2 linked regions of the Drosophila melanogaster genome follow. Changing the gene in region 1 together with any one later gene gives a genetic interaction. Each region holds a gene or a part of one and is shown in the gene's direction. Other genes may lie near its edges.

Region 1 (8,479 bases):
CTGTAAGTTTTGTTAACTCTTTGTTCGCAGATAAGCTAATTCGAAGCTAATAAGTCCCAGTGATATGTTGAATAATTCAGATAATTTCAACAGAGCGTTTCAAAGGCACACTTTTCCAGCGAAAATCGGATTTCTATTCCCAAACGAAGCTAAACCCCTATCCAATCACTTGAAATCTATACTATTGCAGGGTTCCTGGGTTGGTGGCATCATGCCACTGGCTGCATTAGCAGGTGGCATAACAGGAGGACCCTTGATCGAATATCTGGGCAGGCGCAGCACCATCCTGGCCACTGCGGTGCCCTTCATCGTATCATCACTGCTGATTGCGTGTGCTGTGAATGTGATCATGATTCTGTGCGGACGATTCCTAACTGGATTCTGCGTTGGCATTGCCTCTTTATCCCTGCCCGTCTACCTGGGTGAGACTTTGCAGCCGGAAGTGCGGGGCACTTTGGGTTTGCTGCCCACCGCTCTTGGTAACATAGGCATCCTGGTTTGCTATGTGGCGGGATCCTTTATGAATTGGTCGATGCTGGCCTTCTTGGGAGCTGCTCTGCCCGTTCCCTTCCTGATTTTGATGATCATTATCCCCGAAACTCCGCGCTGGTTTGTGAACCGTGGTCAGGAAGAGCGCGCCAGGAAGGCTTTGAAATGGCTGCGTGGCAAGGAGGCGGATGTGGAGCCCGAACTAAAGGAGTTGATGCAATCTCAGGCCGATGCCGATCGTCAGGCCACTCAGAACACCTGTTTGGAGCTGTTTAAGCGAAACAATCTGAAGCCACTTTCCATTTCCTTGGGTCTGATGTTCTTTCAACAGTTCAGCGGTATCAACGCGGTTATTTTCTACACGGTCCAGATCTTCAAGGATGCGGGATCCACAATTGATAGCAATCTTTCCACGATCATCGTGGGTGTAGTTAACTTTTTTGCTACGTTTATGGGCATCATTCTGATTGATCGGTTGGGCAGAAAGGTGGGTTTAAAGATGCATATAAATGAAAATCATTGTTTACTAATCGTAATTTTTAGATTCTTCTGTATGTATCCGACATCGCCATGATCGTGACCCTGTCCATTCTGGGCGGCTTCTTCTACTGCAAGGCGCATGGTCCGGATGTGTCCCATTTGGGTTGGTTGCCACTCACTTGCTTCGTTATCTACATTCTGGGATTCTCCCTGGGCTTCGGACCCATTCCCTGGCTGATGATGGGTGAGATTCTGCCAGCCAAGATTCGAGGACCGGCTGCATCGGTGGTCACGGCTTTCAACTGGTTCTGCACGTTTGTGGTAACCAAGACCTTCCAGGACCTCACGGGTGCGTAGTGCAACTAACTAAAATAAGTGGTGTAATAATATTTAATATTTTTGTGTGTAGTTGCTATGGGCGCGCATGGAGCCTTCTGGCTATTCGGCGCCATCTGCATCGTGGGTCTGTTCTTTGTGATTATTTTTGTGCCCGAAACGCGGGGCAAGTCGTTGGAGGAAATTGAGCGAAAGATGATGGGCCGTGTGCCCATGTCCTCGGTGGTCAACATCAAGCCATTTCCTTTCAACATGTAAATGGCGTGTTGCTAAGGATCTGAGATGCGTTCAAACCAAATAGTAGGGTGGTGTCTTCGTGCTTAAATTGTGAATTTTTAGGCAAGCGCAATAAATCAAAATTACCGTTGAAAAATACACCAATTGAAAGTTTTTAGGCACTTATGTATATGTGAGTAAAAAACATTTTCGCTTGCGATATGCACAAGATAGTGTTAACAAAGACACCAGTATAATAATATTCTAGTTACATATTGTTACATATGTAGGACCTTTTATTATTATTAATACTCAAGATTAGAGTTTTGAAATCAGTGGTATTGCTCACCCATAACTTGAACACGGCAAATGGCACAGATATCGCATTCCACATCCCAACTCCACATTGCAACTGCGTTCCATTTCTTCAGCGTAAACATTTTTTCCGGTTTGCCGGCATCTCCGTCGTCTGTGGGCCTATCCACTGAGTTTTCTGGATCATCAGCCATGTCAAAAAAGTCTGGGAAACTGACCAATCCACTGGGCTAATGAGATTCGGTTTTTTAATATTTTTTTTTTGTTTCTTGTGTATATCCTCCTGTATGGGAGATTTTAATTAGTATTACAAATAGCGGTTTAAAAATGTTTTTTAATTTTACAATACAATATATTAATTTTTTAAGGTTCTTTTATTTTTAATTTCCCTTTAATGTTTTATGTTTTTATTTTTATTTGGTAAACAATTTTAAGTTTTATTCGACCCCGTTTTTAAATATTTTTCTAACTGTTAATTTATAGGGTATTAGAAACTCTAAACCGGACCTATCTTAGTTATTGATTATTAGCAAATGGCAAAGTGGTCTAACCAGGTCCGGACATCAGTACGTAACTCAGGTTTAGGATTTTAAATAAGGTAATTATACAAATATTAGGAATATTACTCGAAAAATATGCTTAATAGGCGTAGGAGAGCTACAAGTAGAAAAGTTCAAAAATGATCAACAGGTGTTGCTTCCTTCCAACTGGTGGCGATAATTCTACGAACAAACGGTATATTAGTATTAGGGAACAGAGTAACGGGTATCTGATAGTTGAGCCATTCGACTAAGCGCATTCTTCTTGATTGTTTTTTGTTTTATGAATATTGGTAGCTGCGGAATAGGGGGATAGACTATAAAGCCTCTCACTTATCCCTGGTAAAAATGTAATTTACTTTCGTAGCAAGTGGCTGATACGAATTTTAATGTTTTGCTCAACTTGCCAAAAAGTTACTTCTTCCTCCGAGAACAAAGAAATGCCATTCTCAGTTGTATACGAAGGAAAGGTTATCACAGTGTTCGTTAAGTTGTTAACCTCACTCCTACTTCTTGCTTAGTTTCGGGCAAATGATAAGGAACCGCCGGTTTGACTTACCAACAAATAAGAAGTCGAAATAATTGAATGTAAACAATAGCAAGCCAAAAGTCAGTGTGGCCACACCAAAACAAGGGAAAACTATTTTCAGTGTTGCCACAGCCATTTAGGGGATACATTCACCTTATATGCACGGACACACCTATCGACGACCGATAATTAAATATCGATAAGGCGGTTAATTTGTTTTGTGATTTGGTTTTCGCTTACTTCAACTTCGGTTCAATTCATTTTCAGCCTTCGACGAGTGCGGAACGTTTGCGGCAGCGTTTTTCGGCCGCGCTTCTCAAGTTTCAGCTTGCGTTGGGAAATAAACGGTTGGTTTCCAATGCACTAACACAAATTTGACAATATAAATTATTTGCGGTTTCCGGTGATTACTTTAAAATGAAAACCTTCGAACGACAAAAGCTGACCGTGAATATACAGCAACCTGATTCCGATTCCGTTGCCAACCAGAACGCGCCCCGCATAAGTAATTAAGTAATTTCCATGCCGCTCAGCCGGAATCTAACAGTTCAGCCTTATTATTCGCCCATCGTAAACTGAAATTGAAAAAGATAATGGCAAATGACCCATTATCACTATCAGCACAAATGGCGCATCCGACAATCAAAGATAAACATCCCGTATCAATGCGATCCGATGCCAAATGTGCGATAAGCCGATTAAGGGAGTGGTATTTTAGTAAATAAATGTGGAGAAATTAGTTGTTTTTCACAGTAAGCAATAAATTTTCAAATAGCAAATGTAAAATCTACATAAGCCTTACAAAATGACGACGTGTTAAATGCCAATTAAGAGCAAATATCACCTGTGGCTAATGAAAATGTGCAATTTAATACAACCGCAAACAAATGTGGAAGTAACAAATAATGAAAATTTAAACAGATAAAGGTCATTTCGTAGACTTAAACACAAATGAGTGTCAAAAGCGATACGGATAAATATCAATAATTGCAAAATAAAACCCTTGAGTTGAACGCCCTTTTTTTTAACCGGAATAAAGAAGTAGCAGCTGAAGGAGAAACAGGCCAACAGCAAGTTTAATTTAATTAAATTTCGTTGTTTTCTGTGTGCGTGTGTGAGTGTGTTGTTGTTGCTTTTGTTGTTGGCTTTGCTGGATAATCAACGTAATGCTTCCACCCACATCGCGCGAAAGAGATAGCACTAGCGCAATTGACTTTGCCATAAATGATTTTTGGTTTTTTTTCTGCTATTTCTTTCTTGTTTTTTCATGCTTTTCTGTTTGTTTGTTTGTTTGTAAGTTGGTCGCTGGCAATTAGTGGAACGACAAATGTTTATTGACAAAGGCATTGGACACTTTGATTTACCGGGTCTATTCGGTTAAATTGTTTATGATTTTTAAGCGAAAATTATAGATATATGTACATGTGTATGTACATATGGGGGTGTTGTATCTCAGAGATATCGATGGTAAATGTGACACTTTGTGGGTGTATCTATAATCGTATAAAGTGGAACTCTAGTCGCTAAAAAATAAAATCAAACTCTTAAAGGCAGTTTTGTTTTCCTTATAAGCTAGATCGATAAATTTCCACAGCTTACCAGTAAATTTTCATTTAGAGCAGTTTCGAGTATATACAAAAGTGTTTAAAATTTTGCATGTGAAACTATAGCAAAGTTTCGAACATGTACATATAAATTTCAGAAAGCATATTTTAACAGGTTGTACATATATTCAAGATTTGAATGTCATAATTCATTTCAAAAGTAACTATCTGGTATATTTAAAAACCAAATTCCATCACAAAAGTGTGTTTATTTAATGTTTAAAAATGCCAATAAATGCTCAATTGCAACACCCATTTTCCAAGTATGAGTGCAAATGTTTTAGGGATTTCGAACAAGATCACTTCATGCCCCCGATGCCACAAAGCCTCGAGAAGTAAATGCAATTAACTGGCGAAAAGCACTTGCGCCCCCTTGCCCCTCCCTTTAGACCATATTAACTTGGCTTTAACGCCGTGCACGTTCGATTTGAATGACGCACATTGGCGGCTGAATGGTTGAAAAAGTGCAAAATCAACAATTAATGAACTGAACAATGTTTGCCACCTGTAACGTCTGAGGATGGTGTAAATTTCCAATTGCAAACGATGTCAAACAGAGGCGTTTTACCGTCTGCTAATTTCCCATTTTCATTTCAAGCCGAATGGCCACAAATAATACAACAAAAAATAATGAAATAATAATAATACAACAAAAAGCAGTAAAACCGCAAGATTGCGGCTATTTGCAAGCACTTTATGTGTCGTTTATGATATAGTATTACTATGCGCTGTCACTTCGGTCCGGCGATCAAATATGCAATTAAATGTAAAAAAAAAAAAAAAAATGGCAATTTAATGAACCCACATTTGATTAACCAATCAGCAGTCGAAAGTCAAATTGCTCCAAATCGCTTGTCATGCGCTCCGCGAATTTGATTCAAGCAAACAAACTGAGAGATACAAAAAGATATGCGAAATTCCAATACGGAGTCTGCGTAACTGTCAAATGTTGTAAAAAATCAATAACACAAATGTTAACATGCGCACAATGCTAAAAACGCATAAAAACGAGTCGAGCGGCCAATAAGGTTGGCAAAAAATGGCAAAACAAAAAATGAAATCAAATAAAATGAAATGAAATGAAATGCCTGGCGACGCTTTAAGGCAACTCGGTTTGGGCCAATCCAAGCCCGAGATAAAGCATTTGACACTTTTGGCTAATAAAAGTTGCTAATGAGTGCGCGCAACTCGCCGATTCCGAGTTGTTGATTTAGTTATATTTTTTGTGATCCGGCCAATCGGAAAGCATTAATAATTGGGTGTTGAGAGAGCAGTTTTACTGCACTAATTGTGCATAAATAAATAACAGCTTGTGTAATCCAATTAATTTGCAAATAGTTAAGTTGAATCGCCGAGGGAGAAGTTATCAAATGGGTAGGCTGTCTAGAAGTTAAAAGGCTATTTTATTTCCTTTAAATTGCTGTATTTTTATGAAAATACAGGTATACAAATTAAAGTTCAGGCATATTAAAAATGAAATTAAAAATAATAAAAGTTATTAACTGCTTAACCAAGAAAGAGATCATATATGTACATATATACATTTTCTAAGCATTTTATGTTTCGTGGTTTAAGAAGTATTATATATAATCTTGCATTTGAAATATGACATACGATTATGACATGTTTTCAAATTTATGGTTTTCGAAGTTCTTTTCATTTTTAATTATTGGATTTTTTAATATAAAGAATTTCTTTCTTACTATAGAACATACATCAATTCAATTATCATAAATCGTTATACATTTGATCTTTTAGGAGTTTAGTTTGAGCTTCAAGATTTTCTATCCAAATTCTCGTTTTTCTTGCACTGAACTTTGAAATAAAACCTAAAAAAATGAGTTGCTTGCTCCCGTTTTGATTAAGTATAATGTTTTAATTAACTTGATCTGCTCCCTTTTAAAACCTTTCGAGTTGTGCCGACTCCTTTAATGAGCAGCGAAATCGACGATTGCCAGTCATGAACATCGATATCCATTCATAGAACTGCGTTTTGCTTGTCCATTGAAACTTGGCTAAAATGAAGTGCGCTCATAAATATTTATTAGGCATTGCTAAACTGGGCACTAAGTAGTCGGTAATTTAAGCAGACATCAAAATTGTTAAGGCCAGGTCCACACACACACACACACACACATACTTACTGGACCCCATACCCATTCGGCCGATTTGGATGCTGAATGAAGAGTGTAAATTGCAGCCGCCACTTTGGCGAAAGAAATGAGTGGCAACTGGGGGAGCTTTACATCGACTGCACTTTATAGAGTGGAGTACACGGATTGCGGCCAAATCGAACACGAACTTAAGCGCCAGTTGGGGACGACATTAATTTATGTTCGGCAAACATTTTGCCTGCCATTTAGGCGACAAAGACAAAGTAGCCTCGCCTGCAAGCTCCAAGATTCCGCCCCCTACCCCGATTGGCCCACCAAATCTATTTGTGTTCGAGCCGGAACGCGTTGGGATTATTAATTAGCCAACATCGCTGGCGAAGCCTGTAAAAACATCGCGCCACATTCCCCAAAGTGGAGATGGGGATGCAATTGGGGGCATCTCGTCGAGCTGTGAATGATGATCTCAGCTGTGTGGGAATGCATCTACGCTTGGGTTAGGTCAACGAAAAGTGCTAAAAGGCCAGTTTGCGTTATGGAAAGTTAATTTCAAAATATATTAATGATCGCTTATATAATGCGCAACAAATTTCATTTGGCAGCCACGAAAAACTGCAAATGAAATGTATTTGAACTAGTTAAAAGTTACGGAAGTAGTAATAGAATATTTAAATATAAAAAATCACACAACAAAGTCTTTGTTTATTTATTTATTTTTTTTCAACTATTTAAGTTAGAAGAATCTCACGATGACCATTTTATCACAATGCCACCCAGCTAGCAAACAAATTCCGAAATACCTATGTATGTATGTATCTCCTGAAGCCCCAATGGGTAATTAACTTGTAACTCTAGACTTTTGGCCACCCATCGAGCAAAAGCGGCTGAAATCAACGGCTAATTGGCTGCGATTTTCATGCCCATTAAGCGCCAACTGTCAGCCAGCCAGATGGATGGATTATCATATACGAAAACCGTCAACAAATTGCACCAAATAACAAAGCCAAAAACCGAAATCGACTGTGAACGAGGTTTCATTAGCCGCGCTCGAAGCGTGAAAACGTGATAAAATTTCGGTTTAGGCCACAACTATCTGGCCATAACTAAATCACAGATTGCAATTTGCGAACTAAGCGCGCAGTTTGGAAATCGGTTTGCCTACTGGCTTTTTGAGCTATCTATCGTACACTTGTTTTTTGTTTTTTTTTTTAAGATTTTATTCTCAGGTCCGCTCAATCACTGGCGACATGAACATAAATTACATTTTATTAAGTGCTAATTTCTGTTTTAATCTCGAAATGGGCAAACATTGGCTCGTTGTTGATTTCGCAGTGGCGATAAGTCAATTTACTTGGCAGCCAGATAGATAAAAGTCACTTCAAGATTGGCGCCTCAGATACAGATACGATTGCTATTGATGGCGTTTTGTGACTGCTTTTAATGGATGGGTAAGCAGGGAAACCACTTATACACAAATTAGATAAGGATTTCTGTCTTAAAAGGGGTATATTCATGTAGTTAGAAATAATGGAAAGAAATTAAGATTCAAATTGAACTATTTTCCAAATTTATACAATGCCACAACAGCAACACCCATTAGCATCACCACAAATCCCAAACTTCCAAAGAGAGCTAAAGATTTGGATGTCTCCCTGATACCGGAATCTCCAATCTCAATATCCCGATCCTTTGGAGACACATCCTCTTCACCGGGCATCAGCACGCGGAAGGTGAGATGCGAGAGTTCCGAGACTTCGGTGCTATTGCCGTGCGAAACGTTCCGTCGCCTCCGTTGGCCCACCGATGGCAAACAATCTTGGGCCGTCACCTGGCAATCCTCGCGTTCCAAGCAGCCAGTGA
Region 2 (7,539 bases), on another chromosome or scaffold:
CCAAACTGCCCGCAGATGCCGGTGATCCAGGCCATGGGCATACTGAAGAAGGCATGTGCCGAGGTCAACAAGGATTACGGACTAGATGGCAAGGTGTCGGATGCCGTATCCTGCGCCTGCGACGATGTCATTTCCGGCAAGCTATACAAACAGGGTCACTTCCCATTGGTCATCTGGCAAACCGGTTCGGGCACCCAGACCAATATGAACACCAACGAGGTAAGATTGTTAGATAGGGCTAACGAGAGAAATGTGTATAGCTGGATGCTTCTCCTGCCCCATGCCATTGGCAAACCTACTAGGTGATCAGCAATGCGGCCATTAAGATGATGGGCGGCGAACTGGGCAGCAAGAAGCCGGTGCATCCCAACGATCATGTGAACAAGTCGCAGAGCTCCAACGACACCTTCCCCACGGCCATTCACATTTCGGTGGGCATGGAGCTGAACGAGCGGCTTGTTCCGGCGGTTACACACTTGAGGGATGCCCTCAAGTCCAAGTCGGATGAGTTCAAGGACATCATCAAGATCGGACGCACCCACTTGATGGACGCAGTTCCGCTGACTTTGGGCCAGGAATTCAGCGGTTATACACAGCAGTTGACCAACGGTCTGGAAAGGATCAAGGGCTGTCTGCCGCGCGTCTATGAGCTGGCTCTGGGCGGCACTGCTGTGGGTACGGGTCTGAACACACGCAAGGGATTCGCCGAGAAGGTGGCCAAGCGCATTTCGGAGCTAACCTGCTTGCCCTTCGTGTCGGCGCCCAACAAGTTCGAGGCACTGGCTGCCCGCGATGCCATGGTGGAGGTGCATGGTGTGCTCAACACGATCGCCGTCAGCCTGATGAAGATCGCCAACGATATCCGATTGCTGGGATCGGGTCCGCGTTGCGGTCTGGGCGAACTAATGCTGCCGGAGAACGAGCCCGGTAGCTCCATCATGCCCGGCAAGGTGAATCCCACGCAATGCGAATCAATGACCATGCTGTGTGCCCAGGTGATGGGCAATCAGGTGGCGGTGACCATCGGCGGCTCCAACGGGCACTTCGAGCTAAATGTATTCAAACCCCTGGTCGTGTCCAATGTGCTGCGCTCCATTCGCTTGTTGGGTGAGTCGGAAATGTGTTTTCCAAGTGGAAAAACATGCATACATAACCTTCTCCTCCCAGCTGATGGCAGCATGACCTTCAGCAAGAACTGCGTGGAGGGACTGCAGGCCAACAAGGAGAGGATCGACAAGATCATGAACGAGTCCTTGATGCTGGTGACCGCGCTGAATCCGCACATTGGCTATGACAAGGCCGCCCTGATCGCCAAGACGGCGCACAAGAATAAGACGACCTTGAAGGAGGAGGCACTGAAGACCGGAATTACCGAAGAGCAGTTCAAGGAGTGGGTCAATCCCAAGGAGATGCTGGGACCGAAGTGATTCGCTGTGCGGCTATTGACGATTTTGTTTTAGTTTCGTGTAATAAATTTTTGTGTGTAGCAGGATATTTCAATAGATTGTATTAATTTGTTGATTTTACGGCAGGTGAATAACGGTTTTTAGTTTTTGAATTCTCCAAATGATTCGAGTCCACACTACGCGATAGTCATTATCGATTCTAAAGATATACCGTAAGTGTGGTCACACTAACGCCTTGCTGTTTCTAAATTATTCCGTTGTTTTTATCGTAAATTCTTGCACACTTAGCTATTATTTTATAGCGAAATATAAGCAAAGCAAGCTTTTAAACAAGTGTTTATTGCGGCGCACATTTTCCGTGACAAATGAAAAGATCCAGCTGACCAGCGATTATCTAACGACCAAATCGAATCGAAACGAAACGTTGAAGTAGGCGCATTACATTAAAAATTGGCTGCCAGGCAAGTTGGAGGTCGTAAATTAATCGTTTTGTTCAGTTGAAAATAGCCCAAAATCAGTCTAGCCCACACAGATATCGAAAAAGGCGATATATCTTTGGATAATCATTGCAAAAATAAACCCTTTCGATTCGACGATTTCGCCTTGTAGTTCTGCCACCACCGCCCCCACACTTCGCCCCGCAGCTGCACCACAACCACCACCACCCACAAACAGAAAATTTATTTGCGACGCAAAAACAAAACAATCGAATCGAAACGAACCGAACCGAAACGAAACGACAGCAGCTGTTTGGTTATAAATCGGCGCTATCGATCGCACACATGAGCAAAATTGGCGGAGAAGAAGAGGAAGCAGCAGCAAGAGTTAAGCACCACAAATCTTAAAGAATAGGTAAAAATTAAAAATTAAATTAATAGATGACAGACCGTTTAAGGTGCTTCATTCAGTTGCAGGCACTAGGAGCCGAGGTCTTTGCGGGCCGAAAGATGTCTGTGAGACTGCTGACCGTGCGACTGATCAAACATGGTCGCTACATTTTGCGCAGCTATTGTAAACGTGATATACACGCCAACATTTTGGACCAGAATCAATTGAAGACAAGAAGCAAGCGAGGCTTTCCCCTACCCTCCACCGCTGCCAATGTGCTGCGGGTAAGTCAAGCTAAACGGATGATCAAGGCATGTCCAATTAACCCGCATCCAATCTCTTCGCCAGACAACGCCCCAGCAGGCGGCCAAATCGGTGGTCAATGTAGTGCCCCGCACCATCAACTCCCCGTCGGGATCACCGTTTAATGGCAGCGGCAGTAGCCCCACCAGCAGCAGTGGAATCTTCCGAGTGGGCCAGCATGCGCGCAAATTGTTCATCGACAACATCCTCAGCCGGGTGACCACCACCTACTCGGAGGATCTGCGCCAGCGCGCTACCCGCAAGCTATTCTTTGGCGATTCAGCGCCCTTCTTCGCCCTGATTGGCGTTAGTCTGGCCTCCGGATCGGGTGTGCTCAGCAAGGAGGATGAACTGGAGGGCGTGTGCTGGGAGATTCGGGAGGCAGCTAGCCGGCTGCAGAACGCCTGGAATCACGACGAGATCTCCGATACGCTAGACAGCAAGTTCACCATCGATGACTTGGAAATCGGTCCGCCCATAGCCAAAGGTTGTGCCGCTGTCGTCTATGCAGCGGATTTCAAGAAAGATGTTGCCTCGGATGGTGCATCCCTGCATACCGATGCGCAGCCGCAGGCAACGCCAGCCTTTGCGCCGAATAGCTGGAGTACCCACGAGATGATGTCGCCGCTGCAGAACATGTCGCGCTTTGTTCACAACTTTGGCGGCTCTGTGGACAACGTCTTCCACTACAGCCAGCCATCTGCGGCCAGTGATTTCGTGGGCGCCCAGTCGAGGGAACAGGACCAGCGGCACCACGAGCAACAGCAGCATCAGAATCAGGAACAAGAGCAGCATCAGAACCAGGAGCCCAGCAGCAGTGCCTTCAATGTGGTAAATATGTAAGCTTAAATCTGCATGGCAACTTGCCATCACGCTCTTTGCTTTAACTTGCAGACTTCTCCAGCGAATTCAAACATCAACAGCTCTGTGGACAGTTATCCACTGGCACTCAAAATGATGTTCAACTACGACATCCAGAGCAACGCTCTGTCCATACTGCGTGCCATGTACAAGGAGACGGTACCGGCACGCCAGCGCGGCATGAATGAGGCCGCCGATGAGTGGGAACGTTTGCTGCAGAATCAAACTGTTCACCTGCCGCGGCATCCGAACATTGTCTGTATGTTTGGCTTCTTTTGCGACGAGGTGCGCAACTTTCCCGATGGCCATCTCCTGTATCCGGTGGCGCAGCCGCAACGCATCAATCCACAGGGCTATGGCCGCAATATGTCGCTGTATCTGCTGATGAAACGCTACGATCACAGTCTTCGCGGCCTGCTCGATAGCCAGGATCTGAGCACGCGCAATCGCATCCTGCTGCTGGCTCAAATGCTCGAGGCTGTCAACCATTTGAGCCGTCACGGCGTTGCCCATCGTGACCTAAAGTCTGATAATGTGCTAATCGAGCTGCAGGACGATGCGGCGCCGGTGCTAGTGCTCTCCGACTTTGGCTGTTGTCTGGCGGACAAGGTGCATGGCCTGCGCCTGCCGTACGTTTCGCACGACGTCGACAAGGGCGGCAATGCGGCGTTGATGGCGCCAGAGATCTTCAATACGATGCCCGGTCCGTTTGCCGTACTCAATTATGGCAAGGCCGATCTGTGGGCTTGCGGTGCCCTGGCTTACGAAATCTTTGGCAACCGCAATCCGTTCTATTCGAGCAGCGGTGGGATGGCGCGCGAACGCGGTGAGATGACGCTTTCGCTGAGGAACAGCGATTACCGACAGGACCAATTGCCGCCAATGAGCGATGCTTGCCCGCCGCTGCTGCAACAGCTGGTCTACAACATCCTCAATCCCAACCCGTCCAAGCGGGTCAGTCCGGATATTGCGGCAAATGTGGTGCAGCTGTTCCTCTGGGCCCCATCCAATTGGCTTAAGGCGGGCGGCATGCCCAACAGTCCGGAGGTGGGTCGCAGTGTTTGATACCACATCAGCATCCTTTTAAGCTAATTATGATTTTTTTTTACAGATCCTACAGTGGCTCCTTTCGCTGACCACTAAGATTATGTGCGAGGGTCGTCCACAGATGGGCGCCGGATTGATGCCAGTGGCCAGCTGTGGCAATAGGCGCGCCTATGTGGAGTACCTGCTCATATGCAGCTTTCTGGCACGCGCCCGGCTGCGTCGCATTCGCGGCGCCCTCAACTGGATCCAGAATGTGGTGGCGTAGGAGAAAAGCCTTCTACTTGTTACTCTGAGAAAATCAAATGGAAAAGCGTGTGATACCTATATTTTACATATGTATTTATAAATGAAATCAAAATTAACGCCAAAAGCACGCCTCCGGTACAATAATTATTGACCCTCCTGATCTTTCTGATTCTTCAGCTTCTGCATTTTCGCCACCAGCGCCTCCTGTTTGACCAAACTCCTGTCGAGCTTTTCCATCACCTGCCTGATCATAATTTGGAGTTCCGCAAGATGTTTCTCCCAGGCCACATTCTGCTCCTCCAGCTCGATAAGCTTATAGAGATTGGCCTCGTTTGAGTCTTCGATGTTGTCTATAGCCTGATCCAGGCTATCCTCGGCGTCCAACTTGTTTGGATTTTGTGGGGGATGCTGTGCGGAGTAGAATGAGGAGTTTATAAAGTTAGCAGGATCTCTACGTTTAGTACTTACCATAACTAAACAGTTCAAGTTCATTCACTTCTCTGAATTCGCAAACTTCGAATGAAAATGCGCTGACAGAACTTACGATAACCGCACCAGGGCTGAGCCGATTGCATGCGTTATCGATATCGCCTGCCAGGGATGTTGGCAGTTTAAAATTAGTTTTGGAAAACTTAGGATATCCCAAATGCCATGAACAATTCTGTTTTTTCCGCAAACTATTATACAAACTATAGATAGTTGAAAAACATAAGCCAGCAAATGTTTATTTTTCTTTTAGTTTTTAGTCACATAACATAATATACAGATATCGAATTCATTTGTTAATATCCACGCGACTCACACACAACGTGTGATCATAAAAGGAGCAAGTGGCCATGGTCAAGGACGCATCGTCCTTGTTTCTCCATGGTGCCCAATCGGCCCCGTAGCAGATGCTCTTATGCTCCTCATAGGCGCCCAGTAAACTCAGGCCAGGTGCCGCGACATCCAGCTGCACCACGCTAAAGTTGGTGTACATGCAGGCGGCCAGGATGAGATCGGGCTGGGCAGGATGCGGCTTCAGCCTCCAGATGCCTCCGCTCAAGTCCAGTTCCGCCAGTGATCGCTTCATCGATCTGGTGTCGAAGAGACGCAACTGCTCATCATAGCTACCCGTGAGCAGATGGTTTTCGTGCCGCGGATGACTTAGCAGACAGGTGACTCCAGCCATGTGCGCCCGGTTGGTCCACGCACGCTGCTTGGTGCGCAGATCGTGGGCCATGAGCAGCATATCGTCGCCACCACTGTACAGAATGTGCGGTGACCAACGATCAAAGGCACAGGTCCAAGCCTCAAAGCCATGGGACAACCACGACCGTTCGCGGATTATCTCACCCTGTGATGAGTAGCTCAATAGATTTAGGCCGCCTTTGGAATCGGAGATGGCCAGTCGGATGTGCTGCCCGTCATGTTGCCAGTCTAGGGCCAGCGCCAATGGCGCTTCCTCCGACGAATCCTGCTCCGCCAGGCTAAAACACGTACGCCTCTGCAGTAGCTTCGCATCCTGGAGAAACTCGTACAATTCCATCTGGCCTAAAGAGTTGACCGTGGCCAGGTGGGGATTACACTCACTGCTCCAGGCCGGCAGCCACTTCATGTCGAGAATGGCAGACGTTTCGATGCACTGTAGCCGCTCCAGGCGGCAGTTTTCCTCTTCAAACTGGTATAAATAAACGCGACCCTTGCGTGGACGCTTGGCTGAAGTCTCCGCCGCCGGCTCGTCCTCCTCCTGGACCAACTGATAGGTGCCGCAGGCAAAGAAACCCGTTGCCGCATCATCGTGTGTCAGCCACTCCACAGAATCTGCCGAATATTCCGTATCCTCGCTGTGGAGCGTTGTAAACATGTTTATGAAAAGATGTTATCAGCAATCGATAACCGATAGCCACTAGCTGACCATCTGTCCCATACATCGCTGCCAATCGACCGTGTTGTTTTGTTCTTATTAGATTTATTTGTTATTTTGGGCTTCTACTGATAAAAATCTGCAAGACAAACAGTAAAACGAAGAATAATCTAGGAGTGGAAAACAGATTTTTTGCAAATCAATAGAAAATTGCCAAACCAATAAAAATGTGAAAAAATATGAACACATTTTTAAAAAGTTAATTATGATTTTTATACAGATCCTCCAGAGCTTTTCCATCACCTGCACGCTGACAACCACTACCGTAATGAGTAGGAATAGAAAGAAAGAAAGGCTGCCTTTGGAAAAAATTTCCAGCGGATGTGGTGCGCGTCATGCGCGTCATGTGCGCGCCAGACGTGCAACATGCAAAAACACGTTCGCCTCTGCATTTGCTATCGATAACCGATAGCCACTGGCTGACCACACATACATCCCATACACCGCTGCCATTGACCGTTTTGTTTCGATCTTATTAGATTTATTTGTTATTTTGGGTTTTTTTTTTGCTTTTTTTTTGCTAATTTAAAAAATTAATAGTTAATACATACAACTACTTAGTGCTCTGTTTACGCGCTACATATTCTGGATTAGGTTTAGTTGGATCTCCACCATCGATCGTAGTTATCTTTTTATTTTAGCTGCATTTCTTCGATTTTCAGTGGCTTTCGGGGCGTCACAGTGTTTCATTTCATTTAGCTTTCTGGGTTTCCGGTGGACTTTTGTGCCTGCCAGGCATCCGTATTGCACTTGATCCTTGATCTCCGCTTACTCTGACTTTTTACAAAATCTACCATTGAAGTACATTAACACTTTAAAAAACAGATTAAAAAAAAATATACGCTTATTGATAACTATAGACAATCCCTACTGTTCGCAGATATCTCCATCGTTTGTGCGTCCAACGCCTGATATTCCGGCGGAAATGGAGGCCTGGCTAGC

What was found.
Region 2: of Buffy (region 1) and Pink1, changing one suppresses a phenotype caused by changing the other (phenotypic suppression), as found in Drosophila melanogaster (2 studies listed by BioGRID).

What each region holds. Positions count from the first base shown.
Region 1 is NT_033778.4:11,676,336-11,684,814, forward strand, and holds the start of Buffy (buffy), read left to right. Parts: upstream 1-3,156; 5' UTR 3,157-3,251; intron 3,252-7,829; exon of another isoform or gene 7,830-8,174; coding exon of another isoform or gene 8,175-8,479. Other genes in the region: Roc2 (regulator of cullins 2), read right to left, coding at 1,871-2,030; Tret1-2 (trehalose transporter 1-2), read left to right, coding at 1-2, 191-976, 1,033-1,318, 1,379-1,563; CG13196 (uncharacterized protein), read right to left, coding at 8,175-8,479.
Region 2 is NC_004354.4:6,682,204-6,689,742, forward strand, and holds Pink1 (PTEN-induced putative kinase 1), read left to right. Parts: upstream 1-1,637; 5' UTR 1,638-1,867; exon of another isoform or gene 1,868-1,924; 5' UTR 1,925-2,258; intron 2,259-2,314; 5' UTR 2,315-2,353; coding exon 2,354-2,518; intron 2,519-2,582; coding exon 2,583-3,368; intron 3,369-3,431; coding exon 3,432-4,445; intron 4,446-4,509; coding exon 4,510-4,710; 3' UTR 4,711-4,835; downstream 4,836-7,539. Other genes in the region: Fum2 (fumarase 2), read left to right, coding at 16-219, 303-1,107, 1,168-1,427; CG44303 (uncharacterized protein), read right to left, coding at 4,836-5,099, 5,160-5,162; CG3184 (uncharacterized protein), read right to left, coding at 5,467-6,537.